Alligator mississippiensis: one gene and its partner. The protein of the gene in region 1 interacts with the protein of each later gene in a biochemical or structural test. Links are inferred from orthologs where the notes say so. Each region holds a gene or a part of one and is shown on either strand. Other genes may lie near its edges.

Evidence for each region.
Region 2: the proteins of REPS2 (region 1) and EPN1 form a complex in vitro, tested with the Homo sapiens proteins (3 studies listed by BioGRID and IntAct, with this or other methods). The link is inferred for Alligator mississippiensis from reciprocal best matches to the Homo sapiens genes REPS2 and EPN1.

Annotation. Positions count from the first base shown.
Region 1 is NC_081824.1:321,556,989-321,568,281, reverse strand, and holds the start of REPS2 (ralBP1-associated Eps domain-containing protein 2), read left to right. Parts: upstream 1-7,126; 5' UTR 7,127-7,154; coding exon 7,155-7,337; intron 7,338-11,293. UniProt on the Homo sapiens protein: Involved in ligand-dependent receptor mediated endocytosis of the EGF and insulin receptors as part of the Ral signaling pathway. By controlling growth factor receptors endocytosis may regulate cell survival.
Region 2 is NC_081828.1:75,103,758-75,114,999, reverse strand, and holds the start of EPN1 (epsin-1), read right to left. Parts: upstream 5,317-11,242; 5' UTR 4,972-5,316; intron 2,138-4,971; 5' UTR 1,939-2,137; coding exon 1,711-1,938; intron 946-1,710; coding exon 696-945; intron 1-695. UniProt on the Homo sapiens protein: Binds to membranes enriched in phosphatidylinositol 4,5-bisphosphate (PtdIns(4,5)P2). Modifies membrane curvature and facilitates the formation of clathrin-coated invaginations. Regulates receptor-mediated endocytosis.

The DNA of each region.
Region 1 (11,293 bases):
GCCTCAAGCCTTTTTTAGAAAGGGTGGCCTGTACCTCTAATAAATTAATAGTGTGTCATTTTCCATGAGACAGGTAGAAAGTGTCTTCAACACAGCCTTGCTTTTAACCTGGTCATTAAGGCACTATTTTGAGATCTTGGGATTTGAATACCCTCAGGGTGAAGAGAGGAATTTAACTCAGATTTCCTAATTTCTGGGCATATGTACTAACATTCTGGAGTGTTTTTTTGTCTTGGATTTCTTTGATGTATACCTTAGCTTCACACCACCATGGTCCTATTTGTTTCTTTGTTTTAAAGAAGATGTCATCATAGAAATTCGCCTTGCACTTGAAACAGAAAGTGATAAGGATCACAATTTTCACTAGTTTCCAAGTGAGTTCTTTTCACTATCTAGGACTTTTTTCCAAGAATGTTTTTCTTCCTGTATCAGTGACCAGGGCTGTCCCTAGTGGGGGCCAAATTGGGGCAACTACCCTGAGCCCCACACTTTGGGGGGCCTCGCGGAGCCAGGTGAAGTGGTGTGACAACTCCATGCTGCCTCCGGCTTCACATCTGGCAACTCAGGCTGTCCAAATATGCTACAGTCAGGGACCACAGGTGGCAATGACATGCAGCCACTAGGCTACACAGTGTATGGGCCATGCTGTGGAGGGCTCCCCTTAAGATCCTTCCCTACTACAGGCAGTCGCTCCACCCTGGGTTGGCAGCACAGGGCCCCCTCCACTGCGTGGACCACATCTGCCACATGGACTGTACCAGTGGCCATCATAGAGGACATTCTGGTTTTCTGCTACTTTGGTTCTCTATTGATACAAAACCCGACACCTTTATGTCCTCTATTTTCCTCTTGTAGAGGACAGAGAATAACTGAACTGTCCTCTATGATGGCCACCCTACCAGTATCACAGGACCTTTTAGCACATCATAATGCACCTGTGCTCAGCTTCCCCAAGGTTCTCCTCTGCTGCACAGCAGTGGGAGAACCAGCTGCTGGGGCTTGTGGGCTGCATGCTGGCCTAACTCCAGGGCTTCGGCCCTAGAGTGACAGGCATATAAAAACTGAGACTTGAATTTGATTCAGTATCCTACTGGAAGCCAGTTTAAAGATTGGAGGATAGGTCCAACATATTTAGAGTAGCCAGTGTTGCTTGGGATATGTACTGCAGTGTCCTGTGTTCGGTAGAGTTTCCTAAGACTTGAAGGCATCAAGCCTGTTAATATTGCATTGTTATAGACTAAAGTCAAGAGATATCTAAGGCACAAAAATCCAAAGCCAGGTCATCATCAGCCAGGATGAGATGGCATCTTCTAGTCAACTACAGGTGGTAAAAACATTAGTTGTGAGACCTTGGAGTCTGTGAGAAATCCAGAGGCACTCCTATACACAGCTTAAATTTGACCAATTGCAAGTATATACTTTCAATTGAAAATGATTGCATTTTGGAAAGTATTTTCCTGTCCTCACCAGCATAGCCTCCTCCATGTCACTTTCAGCTTCAGTCAGGTTTTCTTCTCATGTGAGCTGAACAGTATTGGTGCAGTGATAGGTCAAGGATAGATAGGGAGCTGTTTGTCTTCTACTGGCACTTGAGTGCACATCCTCTGTCCATTTCTCCCACTGATTGCCTGAAGATAAAGAAAAGGACCAGAGAGAGAATTGATCCTTGTCAGGGGTTTAGTTGTGGATGTACAGTTTATCATTACTGCTTGTTTGGTGGTTGTGATGAGCAGGGATCTAGGTTTTCTGTTTCCCATGGAAAAACGGAATAAACCATGGATTTTATCTTTTAACAGAGGCAAACGCAGATTTCTCATTTTACCAGAGAAACCCACGGATTTTGCAGTTTTGCAATGAGCTCCCTGCAGGCTGGCAGAGTCCCAGCCTGAAGCGGGCTGGGGGAGCAGGAGGAGGGTGGTCAGGCAGGGAGTGCCATGTGCATGTATATGCCCATGGCTCCAGGAAGCCTGGAGAGCAACTCCCGCAGGTAAGCGGCTGGGGAGAGGGGGGTAGGGAGGGAGTTGGGCAGGGTGTTGCCCAGCTGGGCAGTTTCTGAGGCTTGGGGCCCAGGGCCACAATGTGTGGCTGCAGGGCTCAAGCAGGGAGCAGAACAGGGCCACGGGTGGCTCGTCTAGGGGGGTAGGAGGGGCAAGGCTGGCTCCCCGCTGCTGTGTGCACTCCCGGGGGCAGAGGGGACCCACGTCCCCCAGATTTGTGCATGGGGTGGAAGTGGGTGCAGGCTGTGCACTGTGGGCTCCTGCTCTGCTGCCCTCCCCTGGGGCCTCTGCAGCCCAATGGGCACCACCTGATGCTGCGGGGCAGAGCATGGCTGCACAGAAAAGGTACTTGCAGCTGCTTGCTCTATGCTATCCTGCCGATGTGTCCCATGCATGTGTGGCAGCTTTGAGGGGCACAACCCCATGCTGCTGCCCTCACTGCAGCTGTGTGTGCAGGGGGCACGTCGCCAGGGCAGCATGGAGCTCAGCTGCAAGCAGCTTTCCTGCATGACCACACTATGCCCTGCAGCACCAGGTCGCACCCGCCAGGCTGCAGAGGCGCCAGGGAGGGCAGCAGGGCAGGAGCCCACAGTACGCAGCCCGAGCTCGCCCCCACCTTGCACACAGATTTGGGGGGCTTGGGTCCCCCTTGCCGCTCGGGAGTGCATGCCGCTGCGGGGAGCCATCCCCCCTCCCTGTCAAGCCTGCAACAGGTAGCAGGGGGGAGCCAGGCTCTGCTCTGCTGCAGCAGCCGTCACCTCCTGCCAGGGGCAGGGGACTGTGGATCGTGGCCCCTGGCCCCATAGCCCTGGGAGCTGGGGGCCCCCTTCAACAGGGCTGGGGGAGCAGGAGCTGTGGGTGGGAGTGAGGGGCACAAGCAGGGCCAGGGGAACTGTGGGGGACCTTTAATTTTAATCATGGATTTGGGGGGGTTTATTACAGAATTTGTGATTTTTTTTTTATTTTTTTTTTAATCAGGGAAAACCAGGATCCCTGGTGATGAGTCCATAAACCATTGATGAGTCTAAACCTTATTAGCATATCATCATGGACCTATGCCATCTTAACTCTGACTACAAAACCTGATCTGTGAAAAAGGTATTATGCTTCCTCATTGCAAAACAAAATAATACCACAAACAATGATTTTTCAGATTGATATAAACCACGGTAAAATACTTTCACTAAAATAGTAATTCAATACTATACCCTTAGGCAGGGGGCTGGACTCGATCTTCCGAGGTCCCTTCCAGCTCTAATGTCTATGAAATCTTAAATATAATTGTCAACTAAAAAACCCTATATCAACTGACAAACCATCTCACCTCAATATTCATTGCAAACATTTAGAAAACATCCAATTGTATGCAGCACATTATAACAAGAGTTCAAAGTTGTCTGATTCATGAAGAGTAGAAGGGGCTAATTTTGTGTGAGGTGAGGTGGTTAAGATAGTTTGGAGATGAAATAATTGCAAAGATTGGGCAAGGATTTATTTAGTAGGTTTTTTAGCTTTTTATGTGCTTGTTGGTGACAGATATGTTAGTAATTTTAAGAGATCTTAAAATATTCAATTTGCTAGAATTTACTACATGTATTCTATTGTTGCCATAATATCAAGGAAAAACCAATCTCCTGCATACTTTTCTTAATATCACTTGCTCCCTAACCTCCTAATGATTTATGGGGAAATGAGTGGTGGTGTCCTTTTTACCTAGGATTAGCATGAAATGACAAATCCTTATTTGTCTGGGGCCACATACTACCAACACTGGAAGTTGCTAAGAACAGAAGATTAGATTGCTGACTGGAAGGCAGATCATCAACATTTGTAAAGGTTATCTAAAATGGCACCTAATTTAGGTTCATAGTTAAATACCTCATCCCCTGAGTTACACCTAGAAAAACAATCACTGGATGAAAATTACAATGCTTGTGTGTTGACATAAAAAAGTCAAAGGCCTGCAGACATCCTTCCTGCTGGATTTACCATCCACCATTCCCCTGTAAGGCCTAGCAAACATAGCTTGGCATTACTCCCATGATAGTCTCAGCAGTCTAATAGAAGATAAATGGAAACATGTTTGCTGTGGCCTTGCAAATAGCCTGTAGCATGACAGTCCCAGGAATGTATGCAACAGTGGAATTAGGTCATGATTCTGCAAATGTTTACATGTATGCTTAAATTAAGATCTATTATCACCCCTAAACGCTCATAGAAATAAAGGGAGTGTTGTCTGTGTGCAGAGTGCAGAATGATTGGGTGTCAATACTTAACACGACCACCAAACCAGGGAATATTTTTCTGTTAAGCATTCAGTGTTTAATGAATTTTCTTATGTATAGCACTCACGTGGCATGTTTGGCAATGAGCAATACAGTTGTGAAAAGGATTTTGGCTACAATATATATCTAATAAAGAGAGAGCTTTAAAACACTGACTTAAGTAAAGATCTAGGAATGCTCTCTCCAAACAGAAACAGCGGACAGAGGAAACATCAGTTCTTTGTCAGGAACTCCCATTGGTTTTTATTTACAGTGGAGGTGATAGCTCTGCAAGGCTGTCTGGCACAGTGCTGCCAAATGTGCCCACAAAACTGCTCTCAGCACTTGAGTGGTAGAACTGGGTAAGATTTATTAGCACTGTTAAATCAGAAGAGTTTCAGAAATGCTGAGACATGAGGCCAATGGGAGGGATAGTTTGTCAGCCTCCCTCCTGAGACAGGCAAAGGTTAATCTTGTGCTTCAAGTGTTATGTTGAGGCTGCTGGGAGATCTGTTTCCAATTCCCTGTTGCAAACTTTTTGTCACCTTGTCTCTCCAGAGTCAGGCCCCTGCTATACATTGTATGTATTATGGGATTGACTGGTCAATGGCACAATAAATTTAGACCAGCTACAGGAGCGAAGTGAGATTAGCCACAACTGCAAAGGAATTATCACACAATTAACAGGGCAAATATGCAATAAATTTAGACCAGCAACACGTGCAAATCATCACACCGGAAAAATGACCATGCAGCTATAAGAGCAGCTACAAAGTTAGTGCTTGAAAATGTGTAACAACACCTATAGCGGTTTCTATCCAGATTTTATTTGAATGTGTGGGTTTCAGTCCCCTGAGGTAGAAAAGTGGGAATAGCACTGCCATACTATCTCACAGGAGTGCCTGGGAGGGGTGTACAGTACAGACCCCAGGGATGCTTTGGGAATGGGAAGGAGCCACGTTGGTATCCAAGGGCATGAACGCCATGTGCTCCCAGAGTCTGGGGGGGCGCAGCGAGCTCCTGCAGGCGGCAGCGGTGCTGTCAGTGGTGGGAGTGTGGCAGCAGCGAGCGGTGAGCTCCTGCAGGTGGCTGCGGCCTGGGGGCGTGGGTAGCTGGCAGTGTCAGCGGTGCTTTTTGCAGGAGGTTCACCGCCAGTCTCAGGGGGTGCACGTGCACCCCCTACGCATTGCCAGTGCCTAAGGGCTTATTTGCTCTTATGCAATGACACTCTATACCAAAAATTCATTATATATGAGGTAAATTCACTCCTATGCATTCGGTGTGATGGAAGCCCGCAGTCAGCTGCTTTGTGTGGTGCATTGTGGGAGTGACACGAACCAAAATATAGTCTCTCCTGTGTGGATCTGTGCTCCTCGCTTGTTGTTTGTGACATGTTTCTGTAGTTGCCATCCCCATTATAATAGTGCCCTGTGCTTGTGTGTACTGTCTGCTGTTGGTGAGTACCAAAATTGTCCTGTAAAAGTGGTAGAAATGGGCTTGGGGGTCCATGCAGTAGAGGTCTTGGAACATATCCCTATTTGTTACATTGGAAAGTGGGTTCCCTTTATGCAAATTTGAGGTATGCGTCGTTTTCCAAGAACACATGTATAGCAAAAAGCGAGGGAAACCTGTATTAAGACAAACCTTCTCAAGAGGAGGATAGTAAAGCACTGCAACCAGCTACCCAGGGAGGGTGGGGAATCAACATCCTTGGAGATTTTTAAGACCTGGGCCAAAGCCTTGTCTGGAGTGATCTAGTTGGGAGCAGTCTTGCTTTGAGCAGAGTGCTGGACTGAGTGACCTCCTGAGGTCCCCTCATTTAGTTTATCTTATTTAGTTTAACTAATTTCCACCCATTTTCTAGGACTCTAAACGTGGACAGCCCAGGGGTTAGTGCAGACAGGTCCAGTGCTTGCTTTTTTTACCCATGCCACTTTTTTTACAGGCAAGCTGGTCTCACCCCCGTGTATAAATAGTTAGTGCTGGGTGATCTTTGGGGTTGTTGGTTGTCACTGCGTGGGTCTAAAGACGTAAGCAGACAAGGTTCTTTGGGTAGATGCGATATCTTATATTAGACCAACTGAATAGTTGGAAAAATTGTTCTTTGCAAGCTTTTGGGCACAAACACCCTTCTTCAGGCAGAGCATGAGCGACCATTGTAGTCAGGGGGGGGCACGTGCCCCCCCAGTGACCAGTCAGTGACAGAAGTGGGGGGGGTCCCTCATGGCCAATCTTGCTGACCCAGGGTAGGGATCCTCCTGTGGCTGATTGTGCGGATCAGGAAGCGGCTGCGGTGTTCCCAGAAGTGCCACGGTGCTTCATCCAGCACCCCTACTCCCTGGCTGATGCTTGCAGGGGGGCACAGGCACTCCTGCCTGCCCATTGCCTATGCGGGGAGCGCGGCCCGGCAGGGTGCACCGACACTCTGGGGGGGTGCACGCGCACCCCATACACCTCACCACTGAGGCAGAAGGAGAGTCTAACAGTGTTTTTCCTCCCATTTTCCAGGATGTGGACAGCCTAGGGGTTCAGAGCTCCTGAAGCCCTAACGAGAGGAAGCCAGGCGGCAGAGGGGGTCAATGAAGCTGTTCTGAAGCCCAGGGGCAGGGAGGGGAGCCTACAAATGCGCAGGAGACAGTGGGCAGATGTGACACCTTTGGTGAGACCAGCTCGTCAGCTGGAGGGATCGCTCTCTGCAAGCGTGGGGGCACAAGCACCAGGCACAGGGGGAGGCACCAGCCACCCGTGGCTTCCCCGTGGCGGGCCGGGCCGAGCCGCGTGCCCGGCGGGGAAGGCGGCGGCCACTGCAGAGCCGCGGGGAGGCGGGGGAGTGCCGCGGGCTGCACCTTCCCCGTTGCATCGCATCGCATTGCATTGCAGCGCCGCCGCCCTCATGGAGCCGGGCGCTGCGGCGGCCCCGGCGCTCCTGCTGCCCCTGAGCGAGGCGGAGCAGCAGTGCTACGCCGAGCTCTTCGCCCGCTGCCGGCCCGGCCCGGCCCCCGAGGCGGCGGCGGGGGGCAGCGGCGTGGCCGAGCTGTTCAGGGCATCGCAGCTGCCCGCCGACGCGCTGCACCAGGTAGGGGAGTGCGGGGCGCCGGGCTGCAACTTCGCCCCCGCGCTTCCCGCCCCTCGGGCCCGGGGGGAGCAACTTGGGGAAGAGAGTTGCAGAAGTTGTTTGCACTGGGGTGCCGAAGGGGGAGGCGGGGGATCCCCCAGCCAAGCCGGCTCTTCCCATCTTCATGGGATCCGGTGGAAGGAGGGTTGGAAGGGACCTCACCACCGCATCTGGCTCAAGGCAGGGTGGGCAGAGGGAGAAGGCCTCCTGTGGCCCCTCGCTCCCCAGCCAGCCCTTCCTTCCATAACTTAGTTTTCCCCCGCCCCATCCCATCCTGCTGCCTGGGTGCCAGCGTTTGCTGAGTCTGAACCCATGCCACTTATTTTATTTTGTTTTATTTTTTTACAGGCAAGCCTCCCGTGTATAAATATTGTTAGTGCTGGTCGATCTTTGGTTGTCACCAAGTGGGTCTCAGGACTTAAGCAGACAATGTTCTTTGGGGAGATGTGATATCTTTTATGAGATGAACTCAGTAGTTGGAAAAAATTGTTCTTTGCAAGCTTGCAGGCACAAACGCCCTTCTTCAGGCAGAGGTGTTGTGTGCACTCTCCTGGGTGGAATGGAAGTCAGTATGCAAAGGGTTGGGTTGTTTTTTTTGGGGGGGCGGGGTTGTTTTTGTTCTGGGTGGACGTATACTGGGTTTTTAGTATAGCAGTGTGAGAATTTTGTAAAGTTTGATGTTTTTAATTCGTGGAGATTTTGAAGACCTGGCTAGACAAAGTCTCAGCTGGGATCATCTCATTGGGGATGGTCCTGCTTTGAGGCGGGAGGTGGGATGAGATGACCTCCTTGGGTCCCTTCTAACCAATGTTTTCTAGGATTCTGCGCAGCACTGAGCCAGGGTGCTGGGGAAGAGCTGCTGCAGGGAAAGGCGTTGACTGAGGATTGGGAGGTTTTTATGCTGTGCAGGGGGCATTTGCTGGCTTTAGTGTATTGGCACCTTCCTCCTAGACTCTTACTAAGCTGGACTGTGACTGTTTTAGTATGGTGGGGGCTGAAGGCGCAGCTCTTGGGTGTTACCTGTTGTCTAACAGGATTGAAACCTAGCTATCACAATAAACTCCTTGAGGTGTGTTACAGCAGTAAGTGGCAGTTCTCTCTCTCTTTTTTTCTTCCTTTTTTGGGGGGCAAGGACAGTTTTGTCTTTGAAATGTTCATCGCAGTTCAGCATTGAAACTTAAGGTGGTGGTAATGTTGCTGAAATTGTTCTGGGAGGGTTGGTGGTAATGGAGGGACTTCCATCTGAGTAGAGGCTACAGAGGTGAGGCCTGTTCAGTTAAGGAAAGAGAGACTGGGGCAGGGGACGGGGACAGGGACACTCACATGTGATGTAGGTTCGCACAAAACGAAATGGCAAGGAGAAAAGTCAATCACGGTTTATTCTTTACTCTCTTTTGCAGAAGAACAGGGTCACAAAACCAAACTAGCAGGTAGTAAGTTTAAAGTGAACACAAGGAAGTTCTTTTTTCACCCAACACATCTTTCCAGTGTGGAGGTCCTTGCCACCAGGTGTTAAGGAAGCTGCCAGCTTAGCTAGCTTCAAAAGAGGCTGGACAAATTCTTGGAGGAAAGGGGCATCAGGAGCTATTGAGCACAGGACTTGGGGGTACCGCCTCTGAATTGGAACCTCTTGGTTCTTAAATGCTGGGGGCTGCAAGTGAGAGAGGAACGAAAACCTGGTCATACCTTCTTCATAGTCCCGTTCAGCATCCACTCTCTGCCGCTGTGTGACACAGGCACGGGCTGTTGCCCACTGAGTAAAGCTAAAAGCCCACTTTAATCTGGGAGAGAGTGGCACTAAGTGCACATCAGGTGATTACAGGGGACAACTAAAGAAAACAGGGACAGAAGTGAGGGTCAAAGCTTCAAAATGCGTTCACCAAGGGGAGACACCCGTGTGACAGGCCTTTTGATATGCCATTTGGGACAGTGGGCCAAGTAGAGCTATAAGCCCCCCTGGGTGATGAGGGCACATCACTGATTACTTGTGACAACAGAAAAACAAAATGGGGATGGGAGTGAGGGTCAAAGTTTCATAACAAGTGCACCATGGGGGGACACCTGTGACACAGGCCTATTTGCTATTTTGGGGATTCGTGCCCACCATGGGGAAACTATAAGCCCTTCTTGGAGAAGAAGGTGAATGAGAAAGTAATAACCGATTGCTTGGGACAAATGGTAAAAATCAGGGATGGGAGTGAAGGTCAAAGGCTCGTGACAACTGCACCAAGGAGGGACACCTGTGTGACATGCCTTTTTGTTGCCTTAGGGCATGGGTTCCCAAGGTTTGTGTCAAAGAAAAAGCAGTGGGTGCCAATATGACAGCATTTTTGGTTGGAATAATGATTTTTCCTGATCATGAAAATGCATGCAGGCACCTGAATAAAACCTCAGGGGGTGCCATGGCACCTGTGGGCACTGCACTGGGAACTGCTGCCTTAGGGGATTGTGGGCCTAGGCCCACCAGGTAAACTATCATCCTCCCGGTTTAAGGCAACAAGTGATTCCTTGGGACAAATGATAAAAAAAAACAGGGACAGGGGTGATGGGCAAAGGTTAATAACTAGTGTGCCAAGTGGGGACATCTGTGTGACAGGACACTGGACAAGATGGACCTATTATCTGACCTAGTAAATGGCAATTCTTATGCTCATAATAGTTGCAACACAGTGTGTGGTAGTTGCTGGTTCATCCTCTGATTTGCATAGTAGTGGAGATGTGATCTCTTGACATATTGTTTGCATATCAGCTTACAGTCATCTGGGATCCGTTCGGGTGAATGCACTATTATCTGTAGTCCCTTGTGAGAAAGGCACAGGCAGTATTGTTCTTATTTACTTTTACATATTGTCTACCTTGTTAGTAAACACATCCAGGGTTATCATTAATATCGCAAGACACCATCTTACGTTGGTTTGATCAGTAACTATTCTAACAATGGCTATATATTGTAAAGTTTATGGATTATACTAAGTATGTTTTATTATCTTCAACAAATTCTTGGTATTAGGACATTAGCTTACATAAATATAAAGTATACACAGTGATATAATGTGTGGACATACATTTAGGCTGAAAATTACAAGGTTTTTTGCCATCAGTGGAATAAGTTTCTGGAAGAGCTTTCTGATGCATCTGATAAGTTTTATTTTTATATTTATATTTTTTGCTCAGCTTTTAACTAGTTTTAACATGGAATTTGATTAGTATAGGAAGAATATGAAGTTAGTTGTCTGTGACAGGATAATCTTAATGGTCACCTGCAGTCTCCATGTTGGAGGATAGACGTAACTTGCAGTGTGGTAGGTGTTTGGCAGTCCCAGGCTTCAGGGTATTTGATGGTAGCCATCTGCTGAGAGCCAGGAAGAATTTTTTAATTTATCTTTTTTTCTGGCCCCTTGTCATGAAGAATGCTGGGTTTGGGGATTTTTCGCTGCTTTTCACTGATGCATTGGGATTGTTTACAGTTAAGGCTGGAATTTTTTGATTGGGGTGTGCTTATACTCCTGTTGGTACTTAGAAACCCAGTAGATGTTGGCATGTGGGTTGTTCTCTTCTGTTTGTGGTCTTACTAGTCACCAAATTTGGGGTCAGGAAGGAATTTGTTTCCCCTATGCACTGTGAGAGTGTTGCCTTCTTCTGTAGCATGGAGCACGGACCTCTTCTTGAATCATTTTAGCGTGTATTAACTAACCACATTCCTGTCATGGTTGCGGCAGGACATTGACAGTGCCTTTGTTTCCCTTGTTTTTGCCTTTTGCATCCATTCTTGGTGTTTTGGGGCTTGTTGTTTGTAGATTTGTGCTGGGGTTTGTAGTAAATCAGCAACTGCAAATGCAGGGGACTGAACTCTGTGGTTCAAGAAATCCCTTCCAGTTTCAGGCTCTTAAGAAATTTGCCTTGGACATGTTAAATAT
Region 2 (11,242 bases), on another chromosome or scaffold:
AAGGCAACTTAGTCACACCCAGCAGCAGCAGGCAGGCTAAGATGCAGCTGTTTCTGCAGTAGGGAAAGGAGACTTTTCCCAGGAAAAATGCTTGCCCAGTGGCAAGACGCAGCCACTTCTGGGATGGGATATGTCAGGGCCTGGTTTAAAACAGATCCCTCACCTAGCACTAAGATGCAGTGATTGCTGGGGTGCAACAGGTTGGGAGCTGTTTATACAGGGTCTCATCTCCCAGCACTGAGATGTAGCTGATTTTAAAGTGGGGTACACTGGGGTCTTGGTATACAGGGATCCCTCCCTGGAAACAGATGCAGCTGCCTCTGGTGACTGTTGTGTCAAATACCCCAGGTCCAGTTGTGGGGGGCAGAATACGGAGCAGAAGTGTAGGGTGCACAGGCAGTACCAGTACTGTGTGGGACACTGGGGGCTGGTGTAACACTGCACTCAGAAGTGACAACATACGGACAATGCCAGGTGAGATCCCAGGACCAGAGGCACCACGGCCACTAGAGCAGCTCTTCCCACAAGGCACTGGGGATGCTGCTGCCCCAGCCCCTCCTTCAGGGTACCAGCATGCCCTCCCCAAGGTACCTCTTACACTGCAGGACACCACCCCCCACAGATGTGGCCAAGCAGGACAGATGGCTGCTTGTGACGTTAGGTGGGAACAGTCAGCCCCAACCCTCCCCTCTCACCTGTGGACGTCTGGGCCAGCTTCTCCTTAGTCTTGAGGGCATGGGCACGCTCCTCCTTGAGACGCTCATCGTCCTTGAGCAGAGCCACCAGCTGCTTGGCTTTCTCACGCACGTTGACCCCCTGGTCCTTGCCATCACGGTCAACGTACTGGAAGTCCTTCAGGGTCTGGATAGCGTAGATGTTCTCCTTGCACTGCTGTGCCACACGCTCTGAGCCTGTCTTGATCAGGTACTCCATTAGCGTCATGGCCTGGGTAGAGGAGGAGGGGAGTAACTCAGGGGGGTGGGGACAGGGGAAGTGCACCTGTCATGGCCTGCTTCACTTTGTCCACCATGGCCTATCCCATGCTACTACTGCCAACCCCAGCCTGCCACACACCACTACGTGCCTGCTGCAGCCCACCCCACCCCAACAGCCCACCCCAATATGCAGCTTTCATTCACCCCACTACCACCATAGCCTAGGTACCCTGTGACTCTCCCAGGTCCCCATAACAGCAATCAGAGTCCCTGCCCCACACAGGCAACCCTGGACCAGGCCACAGGGAGGCTGTAGCCATGTGGCCCAAAACCAGGCTGGGCTATGTGGCCCAAAACCATCACCCAGCCATGACACTCAGCTGGCCCCAGCACCACCTGTGCTCAGGTACAGGGTCCCACTGCCAGGGCACTCAACCTCGTAAGATGTATCTAATGATTCTGTGATCACATAACTGTAAAAGCCACATTGAAGGCAGCAAGTAGCAAGGCAGGTAGTGCCCAAAGGGCTAGAGTAGAGGGACCTAGGAGCTTTTCTTCACCTCAGGGAAGGAGATCTGGTGGGTTACAGCAACAGTGGGTTCTGGGAGCCAGGACACTTGGGATATGCACAGCTTGGGGAGGCCTGCTGGCTTAAAGCAAGCAGTTTGGGAGCCAGGACACCCAGGTTCTCTTCCAGTCTGAGAGGGGAGATGTGGGGATGGCAGGGATCCCAGATGCCCAGATTCCAGTGGCTGAAGCTGCAGCAGGGCATTACCTTGTAGACGTGGCGCCAGTTCTTGCCATGGTCATTGAGGCGTTTCCAGATCATGCTCATGATCTCAGAGAATGCAACCACGTTGTAGGTGAGGTCAGCTATCTCGGACATGAGCGAGCTAGACGGGCCCCATGGGTCATTGGATGTAGCCTCCCGCACCTTGATCTCTGCCTCTGAGTAGTTGTGCACAATATTCTTCATCTGGCGCCGAAGTGACGAAGTCGACATGGTGACAGCAGGGTGGGTCTGGCACTGGGAGACAGGCAAGTGGGGGCAGGGCCCCTCAGTCCAGCAGGGGCTTCAGAGAAGGCCTTTGTGTCTGTAGAGCTGGGGGTGAGGGCTGGGGTGGCAATGAAACTGCCGGTGTTAAAGGGGAGCTCACAGCTCCATGTCAACAGGCTGGCATGGCTACCAGTCAGGGCCACATCTGCAACAGAGAGATTGGGGGGCATCATGGACAGTGCCCACACCTGCACACCAACAGCACAGCATCCTGGGAAGCAGCAAGGAGCCAGAATGCCTAGGTTCCCACACCTCATCCAAGGCTAGTTCCCTGGTCCCAGGCCAAGCTGAGCCCTGGATCAGCAAAGGACAGTCCCACCTCTGGGACTTCTAAGTGGAATGCAGTTGCCCTTCAGGCAGCATGGGACATGGACCCAGTAGAGAACCAAGCCCCACTATGCCACAAACAGCCAGGTGCTGCCCTGGGGAGGGCAGCCAAGGGCTCCAGGATGGCTACACGTGCCCATGTCCCACCCGTCCCCAGCACGTGCAGACCCCTGAGAGATGAGTAGGGGCCACCTTCTGGGGGTAAGGGAAAGTTGCTGCAACTAGGATGCCAGGTAGGACCCACAGGACCACCCTCTGAGGAGTGAAAAGTCGAGTTTAGACCCTCACCCTTGGGAAATGGGAACAGTGACCCCCAAGTCAGCGAGTCCCAAAGAGTGTACTGTAAAAGTGGTAGAAGTGTGCCACAGGAAACAAACAGGATGAGGCCCCAGCCATGTAGGCCCTGCACAGCAGGACCAGGCCCACAGACTGGCAAGTGAACGGTGCTGCCAGTTTTAAATGCAGAAAATGAAAGTTCCCCAGGTACCAAAACTCTGAGAAACAGTGCCTCAAATGCTCCATGTGGGCACTCCAACCACAAGAGTACCCCCTTTTACATGGACACCCCTACCTCAAAGGCAGATGCATCTCAGCACTAGGCAAGGGGATCCTCCACAGGGATCCTCCAGGCAAAGGAGCCCGTGCTGAGCCAAGTCCAGCACAGTGCTGCTGCAGGAAGGAAGGAAGCCTCACAGCTCCTTGTCCCATGACTCACACCTCAGAAATGCAGAAGGCCCCCACTTCCTTCCCCTTGGGCTAGTCCTGCACCAGGAGCTTGAGACGTGAGGCATGAGAGGCTTGGACTCCATGGAAGACACTTGAATGTGCCCTCTACCAGAGCTGGGCAAAGTGCTATAAGGAAAATAGCAAGACCCCCCCCAGTGACCCCAGTAGCATCCTCTAGTGTCCATCATGGCCCTAAGCTAAAAGAGACAACCCAAAGTCCCTGAGGGGCAGCCAGCCCCCACTCACAGCCCCAGCTCAGGATGTTCCTAGTGCTGGGAAGCCCAGGTTGAAAGCAGTTAGGGCGAGGGGCTGGGAGCCACCTGGGAGAGCCCCCAACCCCACTGGATCATCTGGGCAAGTACACCCCAAGACATCAGGAGCCTAGAGAATGCAACACTCACCAGCCCCCCAGCCCCCAGGATTAATGTCATCAGCCCTGTTCTACAGAGCAGCAAACCAAAGCCCAGGAAAGCAGAAAGGATTTGTGAACAGATCTGGAAAAAGACCCCAAGCATCCTGGCTCCCAACCTCCCACCCCCTTGGGCAGATAATGGAGAAGGTAAAGGCAAGGAAAGCCCAGATTGCCAGAAGCTGAGCTGAGGAAGCGTCTGCCAGAGTTAAAGAGGAGACAAACTTAAAGCCAGGATTTCCTCACAGGCCTCAGCATCCAGATACATTCATCCCCAACTCTTACCACACAGACCCGTGCAGGAACCCATGCACCCAGAGTCCCAGCTCACATTCTCCTGGGCCAGCCATACCCAAAGGGCCAGCTACCCAAGAATTAGTAGGGCCCTATCCCAGCTGGTACTACCCAGGTCCTGAGAAAGGCAGGTATCTAAGCAGACCAGACAGGCAGCAGGTGAGGCAGGGAAACAGGGGTCTCACTGAAGAAGGGTCTTGCCTACAGCAGGTTGGCAGTGAAGGGGGAAATGGAACCCAGGCACCTTGCCCCAAGGCCATGTCTCCAGCACCTGTAACAAGCACAGGAGCTCTGCTCAGGGACACCTGCACACTCAGAGGAACCAGGACAGGAAAGGGAGACAGCCTCAAGTGTCTCCCCACTGCTGCAGGCACAGGGACCCACAGCAGTGTCTCTAAGGTGAGCCTCAGTGCCCCCCTCCTCCCCCTGCCCCCACTCTGAGGAGCAGAATCTGGCCCCTGTCCTGCCCAACTTAGTTCTGCTGGGGCAGAAACAGACAAAGCTCTGGTCAGTGGTCCTGGGAGGAGTAGAACCATGAAACTGACTCCAGTAGGAATATGGGAAGGCTCACAGATAAACTGGAGGAAAGACAGACCCTCCCAGGGGCTGAGGCACGGGCTACCTCTGGCTTGCAGATAGCATCAGGGCTACAATCTCCTCCCGAGCACCACCTGCCAGAGTCCCCCTCCCCATCACATACACACAGCTGATGCAGCTCTGGGCCAGCAAGGTCCTGCTAGGAAGCACAGACCAGTCCCTCCTGCTCACCAAGGGAGAAGGGATAACAGGCTAGACCCAAGGCAGTAGGTCCCCTCCCTCCCCCACCAGTCCCCAGCATGAGTGGGGCCACCCCAGCTGGGCCTGGCCCTGGGCAGCAGAAGCAGGTACTTGACAGCTTTTGGGAGCCTGGGAGAGGGAAGAGCTGAGGCAGGGGTCACCCTGGCTGCTGCTGCTGCCCAGCCAGTTAGTGCCACCGGGGTGGGTCACAACACCTCCCTTTCCCCTGCCGGCCCGGTGCTCCCTGGCACCCAGTAGGGTCCCGCAACCGCCCAGCCCGGGCTCCCCACGCAGGGCAGGGAAGGGCCTGATGGGTCGGAGCAGCAGCCACGGCCCCACCCGCGGACTCTGTCCCTCCGCGCAGGGCCTGGCCTCGCTCCCGGGAGGACTTTGGACTCCGGCGCAGGCTGCGCCCTGCCAGGCCCTCGCCCCGCGGCCGCACTCACCTCCCCGCCGCGGTCTGCCGGGCCAGGCCGAGCCCAGTCACCCGGACTCCTGGGTGCTGCCGCTGCCGCTGCCGCAGGCGGGGCGGGGCGGGGCCGGGGGTCTCGAGCGTCTCCCCCGCCCGCCCCGGCCCGCTCCAGCCTCAGAGCCAGCGGCGGCGGCCCCGCGCGGACATGCCCGAGACGGCGGCGGCGTTCCGCGGGCGGGCGGGTGGGTCGCGGTCGGGCCCCTCTCGCTGGGGGCCACTCTAGCCCCCCTCTATGGCCCCGGAAGCCCCGGGGCCCCTCGGCGCCACGGAAGGAGGGAAGGGGAGGGGGAAGCAACCACAGGAGGACTCCGCACCGGAAGCGGAAGGTGCCTGCCCGGCCCACTTCCGCCCTCGCTCCCTGCCCTGTCAAGCTCCCACCCCGCGCCGCGTCGTGTCAGCCTGCGCGCGCCGTTCCTTCCGGCCGCTGCCATGGAGACGGGGCGGGGCAGCAGAGCTCCACCCCCGAGCTGAGACGCCAGGCGCGAGTGCATCCGCCGAGCCTTAAGGACGCGGGAGTCTCGGTTCTCCCCGTTGGCAATCGAGGCGGAATAGGCTGCTTGGCCCGTTGACCCTGCGAACATGGCAACCTAAAAATGCGGGGGGGTAGTAGGTTTAGGTTTCAGGTGGAGGGTTGCTGCTGCCGGGTGCTGCAGGGAACGTCGGAGGCAGGGTCGTTCGGGAGAAGTGTTCATGGGCCCAGCTGCATGGGTGGGCCCTGAGCAGCGCCTGGTCCAACGGCTCTCCCCGCACTGCCCAAACCACGGGTCCAGTGAAAGGTACCCCAAGACATCCTTGGCCCTCCTCAATTGATTTCAAGCTTGGAAACAATCCATTGTCATTTGGCCCGCGCCCACCGAAGAGGCAAGGGAAAGTAGAGGAGTTCTACCTGAATCTTCAGTCCACAGTGAATGAAATACAAGACATCTGGACGTATCTGTCATCACCCATGGCAGCATTAGATCTAAATATGATCATGCTGACTACAGAAAGATGTGTAGACATGGAGTTAGCACAAGAAACAGGAACAGAAAGCATATATGAACCTTGCTGCAGGTGACTTAAGTCATGGGGTTACTGGTTTTTAGTGCAAAAGCATGCACCAAATGGCATGGATTCCACCAGAGTTGTACACAGAGTCCAACCATGATTAACCATGAGTGAAAAAAATCTTCCCTCAATGCAAGTGAAGCAACATGCAAATGACCTTCACAGAAAGCAAGTTAAAGTTGCAGAAAAACCAAAGGAGTTGAAAGAGGAAAAATCAAACTGTCAAGCAGGGGTTCTATGCAGATATCAGGAGCAGACTGAATGAAGAAGATCTGGATATCTCTTGGTTTAATACAATAATGAAAGTAAAGGTAAATGTGCAAGGACACAAGAGGAAACCCAGGAAAAAACACAATGGATATTGAAGATTACTTGGAAAATGATGGAAGGAAGGAAAAAAAGAAATCAAGAGGGAGTCATTATAGGAGTCCGCCAATGCCAGACCGCAGCCAGCAAGGCCAGCCATACCTTGTCATGTGTCCAAAGATGCATCTCAAGCCGGTCCAGAGAGGTGATACTCCCCCTCTATGCGACTTTGGTCAGGCCACAGTTGGAGTACTGTGTCCAGTACTGGGCGCCACACTTCAAAAGGGATGTGGCCAGCCTGAAGAGGGTTCAGAGGAGTGCCACCCACTTGGTGAGAGGGCAGCAGGACAGGCCGAGGAGAGACTGAAGGACCTGAACCTGTTGCAAGAGGAGGCTGAGGGGGGACCTGGTGGCTGCCTACAAGCTCATCAAGGGAGAGCAACAGCAAATAGGTAAAGCCCTTTCCTCCCCAGCACCACCTGGGGTGACGAGGAACAATGGTAATTAGCTGATGGAGAATAGGTTTAGGTTAGAGATCAGAAGGCAATATTTTACAGTTAGGGTGGCCAAAATCTGGAACCAACTTCCCAGGGAAGCGGTCCTCGCCCCTACCCTGGACAAATTCAAGAGGAGGTTGGACGATCACCTGTCTGGGGTCTTGTGAACCCAGCATTCATTCCTGCCTGTGGCAGGGGGTCAGGCTAGATGATCTGTTGAGGTCCCTCCTGACCCTAGCTACTATGAAACTATGAGACCAACAGAAAAGAATGTTGGCAGAAGCTTGCCCAAGAAAGAACAAAAGGTAAAGAATTATACCAGTGTAGCAGAAAGCCCCCTTTTCCTCTTGCCTGCGTTTGCTCTCCCCTCTTTGGATGTTTCTCTTCTACCTTTTCTTCCTTCCTCTTTCTTTCAGTATAAGATAAGGAATTGTATTTTAAAGTTTGTACGTGTGTATTTCGTATCTCCCCTTGTATTTTGGTATTTTTATCTATTTGTGTGCCATGGCATTACTCTTGTAGCTTATATTTTATACTCCTCACCTTTTAACTAAATGTGTTTAGTTTCAGAAGTAAGTTATACACTGTAACAATGTTAACAAGGGCAGGAATTAAACTGCAGCTTTCCTGTATCAGGCTGGCCCCTGAAAGACCTAGTGAATCAGTGACTGAATGCGTGTAACACAGTAGCAAGTATCAATTAACACCTAGGGAAACTGCAGATCAACCAACAGAAGAAATCAATAGGAGACAATGTAGCAACCGGGAATTCTCTATACTTCACTGTTCAAGGGCTAGAAGCCCTGGTCTGAATTAATTAACACCGGGGACCAACTTTTGGGCTGAATATCTCCAGATCGACCGCTCCCAGAGCCCTATTCAAAATTCATCAATGGACTCCCAAACCTGCACGTACTTGCGGATGACCCCAGGGGCTGACAGATGCCATCCAGTAGCCACCGAGGGGGAAGTCCCACAAGGGTCAACGACCCCTGGATTGGACAAACCTGAAAGCTGGGGAGTCACCAAAGTCTGCCAAGGACAGATAAAAAGCAGTGAAAAGTGACCCTCAGCGGCACCCTCTTGATCTCCAACTTGACCAGCACCCGACCTGTCCAGCCAGAAGGACCAGCGTGGTGATAACACCACGCTGGAAGAAGCCTTGACTGGCCATCGACGGCAGACTCCAGAGCCTGTGGGATAGGTATACCCGACTCTTGTAGCTCGCTACTGTGTGTGTGCGCACGTGTGTGGGGACCAGCCCCCAGGTTTATGATTTGACTTCATTACAGTGTTTCAATCTGCCTAATAAACCAGAATTTTAAGGATCCCGAGTTGGACATTTGTAGCCAACACCAGAAGCAATGAAAGACAATATTTTGGAAAGCTTGTGACTGCAGCTGCCAAACTCACAGGTTAAGTCACTGGAAGACTTAGGGGGGATTGAGCATCTGTAAACAGTGATACTTCCCATTGAAAGTTGAGGCAGGTAATCAATTACAAAAAGGAAGCATAAGACAGAAGTGTCACTTCAAAATCATTTTCAATAGATGAGATTTGTTAAATATCCAAGAAAGTTATCAAAATCTGCATGGCTCACCAGCTGAAATTATAAAAGAGGTACTATGGAAAAGCTGAATTTCTGAAAAATGGGAAACCACCTGAGGAGGATGGGTTCTGCCCAGAAATGTCCAGTAGAAGGCTCGTGAAATGGAAACTTCTCAACTTCCTAAAATAAGCCAGTAATCTGGAGGCGCAGCATCACCATTAGGAAGGGAAGTCAGGTACTTGCAAGACTGGAGAGAAGTAACCCTTTTGCCAATTTGCAGGCAAAGCTCTTAGCAGCAGCATCTCAAATGAAGTCCAAGTCCATTGTGACAAGAGGGGGCAGGATTTAGCAAGAGAATATTGTGGACTGATCAGGTCTTTTTCTTTAGACCTTAGAATGAAGTGCTGAAGGTAGCAGGTCAGTCTTTACTCTGTGGATTTGAGGAAGGTGTGTGATAAAACTTCACCAAGTCACTATGGAACATCTCACAGCATTATGGAATTCCACAAAAATGGTGGCTGTTGCTGAAACTCTGCATGACAATTCTGAATACAAAGAAATCAAGAGAGAGCAAATTCAATGTTAGTTTTAGAAATACAGATAAAATTAGAACAGATAAAACTAAGAATGGAGTGAGCAGGGCAGCAGCATGTAGCCTTCTGTCTCCATCCCCACTCCACCCCCCACTTGCCCACCAATCTCCCTTCAGGTGATTTTGTGCAGTGTGCTCCTGTAAATCTTGAGTATAATTTAAACTATTAACCACTATTCTGGAATAAGAGCTGTGTAAACGAACAGAACAAAATATAGTTCATTGTATTTTATCTTAATTTCTATCTCAAAGATAAGATTTTGAAGAGTATATTTTGGTTATCATATAAGCCTGAAGATCAACTGACATACAAGTACCAAATATGGGAATTTCAGTCAGTTCTGTATTAGAAAAGTAGGAGTAAATATTTAGAAATACAGATAAAATGTATCCTCTTACCCCTCTGGTTCATTCTGGCTGGTGAAAGAAGTTACAAAGCAAGAAACAAGAGGCATTTCACTGATTTAGATGGTGCCAATATCTTCCTGCAGCCTAGCAGCAAGGGAGGTATGCAAAAAACCACCATTGGTGTTCACAGAAGCTTCCAGAAAGATTGGACTCAGAATCAACATAAAGAAGACCAAGTCAATGTGTTTAAATACTGAGAACAAAGATTGTTTCACTGTTATCAACAGTGAAAAAGAGATCATGAATGTCAAAGAACGTACATATCCAGGCAGTACAATAACAGCAAGCGGAGACAATGAGAGAGATAAAGATGTCAGTCAATCAAATGTATTAAAGCCTTTCCATCACTTGGAAACATTTGGAGGACAAATCTGACAAACCTAAAAAACAAAGTGCAAGAACATTGCAGCAGTAGGAAAAGCATGTTCCTCTCCAAGCCCAAGTACCCAAAGACAGTGCCAAAGATTTGTGTAGTTATCAGAAATATTTCGTAAGGACTGCCCAAGAAGAAAATTCAGAGCATTTTGACCTGAAAGAATAACAAATGAAGAGCTACAGAAGAAATCTGGGGTACAACCTACAGCCACAGGAGTAAAAGAGCAAAGCTGGAGACCCCCAGGCCATATATGTAGCATGAAGAATTAAACCTTCCCCCACATAGTCTGGAGGTGGAAACCAGCAGGGAGAAGAAACAGATGGAAACTACAGAAATGAGGACAAGAGCAACAGGAAGGGACATGCAAGAGCATAGTTCCACCTTGAATTCTATCCTGCCATGGGACTGTACACTGGATTGTTGCTGGAAGGGAGGAGGGCGTGCGTATTACATGGTTAAGTTCAGTGGGGGTGGAGTGGAGATAGGACCGTGTAATGTTTGGGTTGTGTTCAGCATCAGACACCTGAGAGACATTTCTGCCATTGGCACCGTCTCCCACTCTGCTCATGCTGTAGGTAGTGGAGTGAGGAGTGCTCTGGGGCTCTGGATCCTTTACCTGGGGTCTGGAAAGTGCTGTGGGCATGCTGCAGCACACAATTTTGGGGACCAGCCAGGTGCCTCTCTGTGCAGTGGGATAGGTTCTGGGCCAGTCAGCTGTGCTGGAGAATCCCACTGTGGCTAAGTCCCTGTGCCCTAGGACTGGTGCCTGGCACCTAGGCCAGGCCTTACTTGCAAGAGTATCCAGCACTGGTCCTGGACAAGGCCTGGGCAGCCCATGAGTAGAGGGGGAAAGCCAAGCTTCCCTACACAGCTCCCCACCTTGGGACCCCCGCTTGCCCACCAATCTCTCTCCAGGTGATTTTGTGCAATGTGCTCCTGTCCCAGGAGGTGAATCAGTCTGAAATGCAGCACATTGTGGCCCCTGCATGAGAACCAATCACACCCAACAGAGATATGCCATTGCCACACGCTGAGCCAGTCTGTGCCCATGCATGTGCCTAGATCAGGGCCAGCACCCTTAGAGACCCATAATAGGATCTTTTGTGCACTATGCAAGGGAGTGGCAGGAGCTAAGACACTTCCAACAGTACCTGTCATGAGCACAGGGAAGTCTCAACTGGACTGAAGGGATGGCCTCTATCCAAGAGTCAGTCATTACAGGCCCCCTGCAACTTATCACAAGCACGAGTAGGCCATCCTCCTATTGTCAGGTCTCCCAGAAGCAGGGGACACAGTGGAAATACCTCTGGACCCGTCTTCCTCCCCTTTTCTATGTCACAAGTTGGTATGGATAGGGTGGTACAGGGGAGGTGGGGGTTGTGCTGCCCTGCCAAGGTGAAAGAGTATCATCTCTTACCCCCATAGGTAACAAGTTCTGTCTGATGTCAACTCTGGATGGGCGGGGGGGGA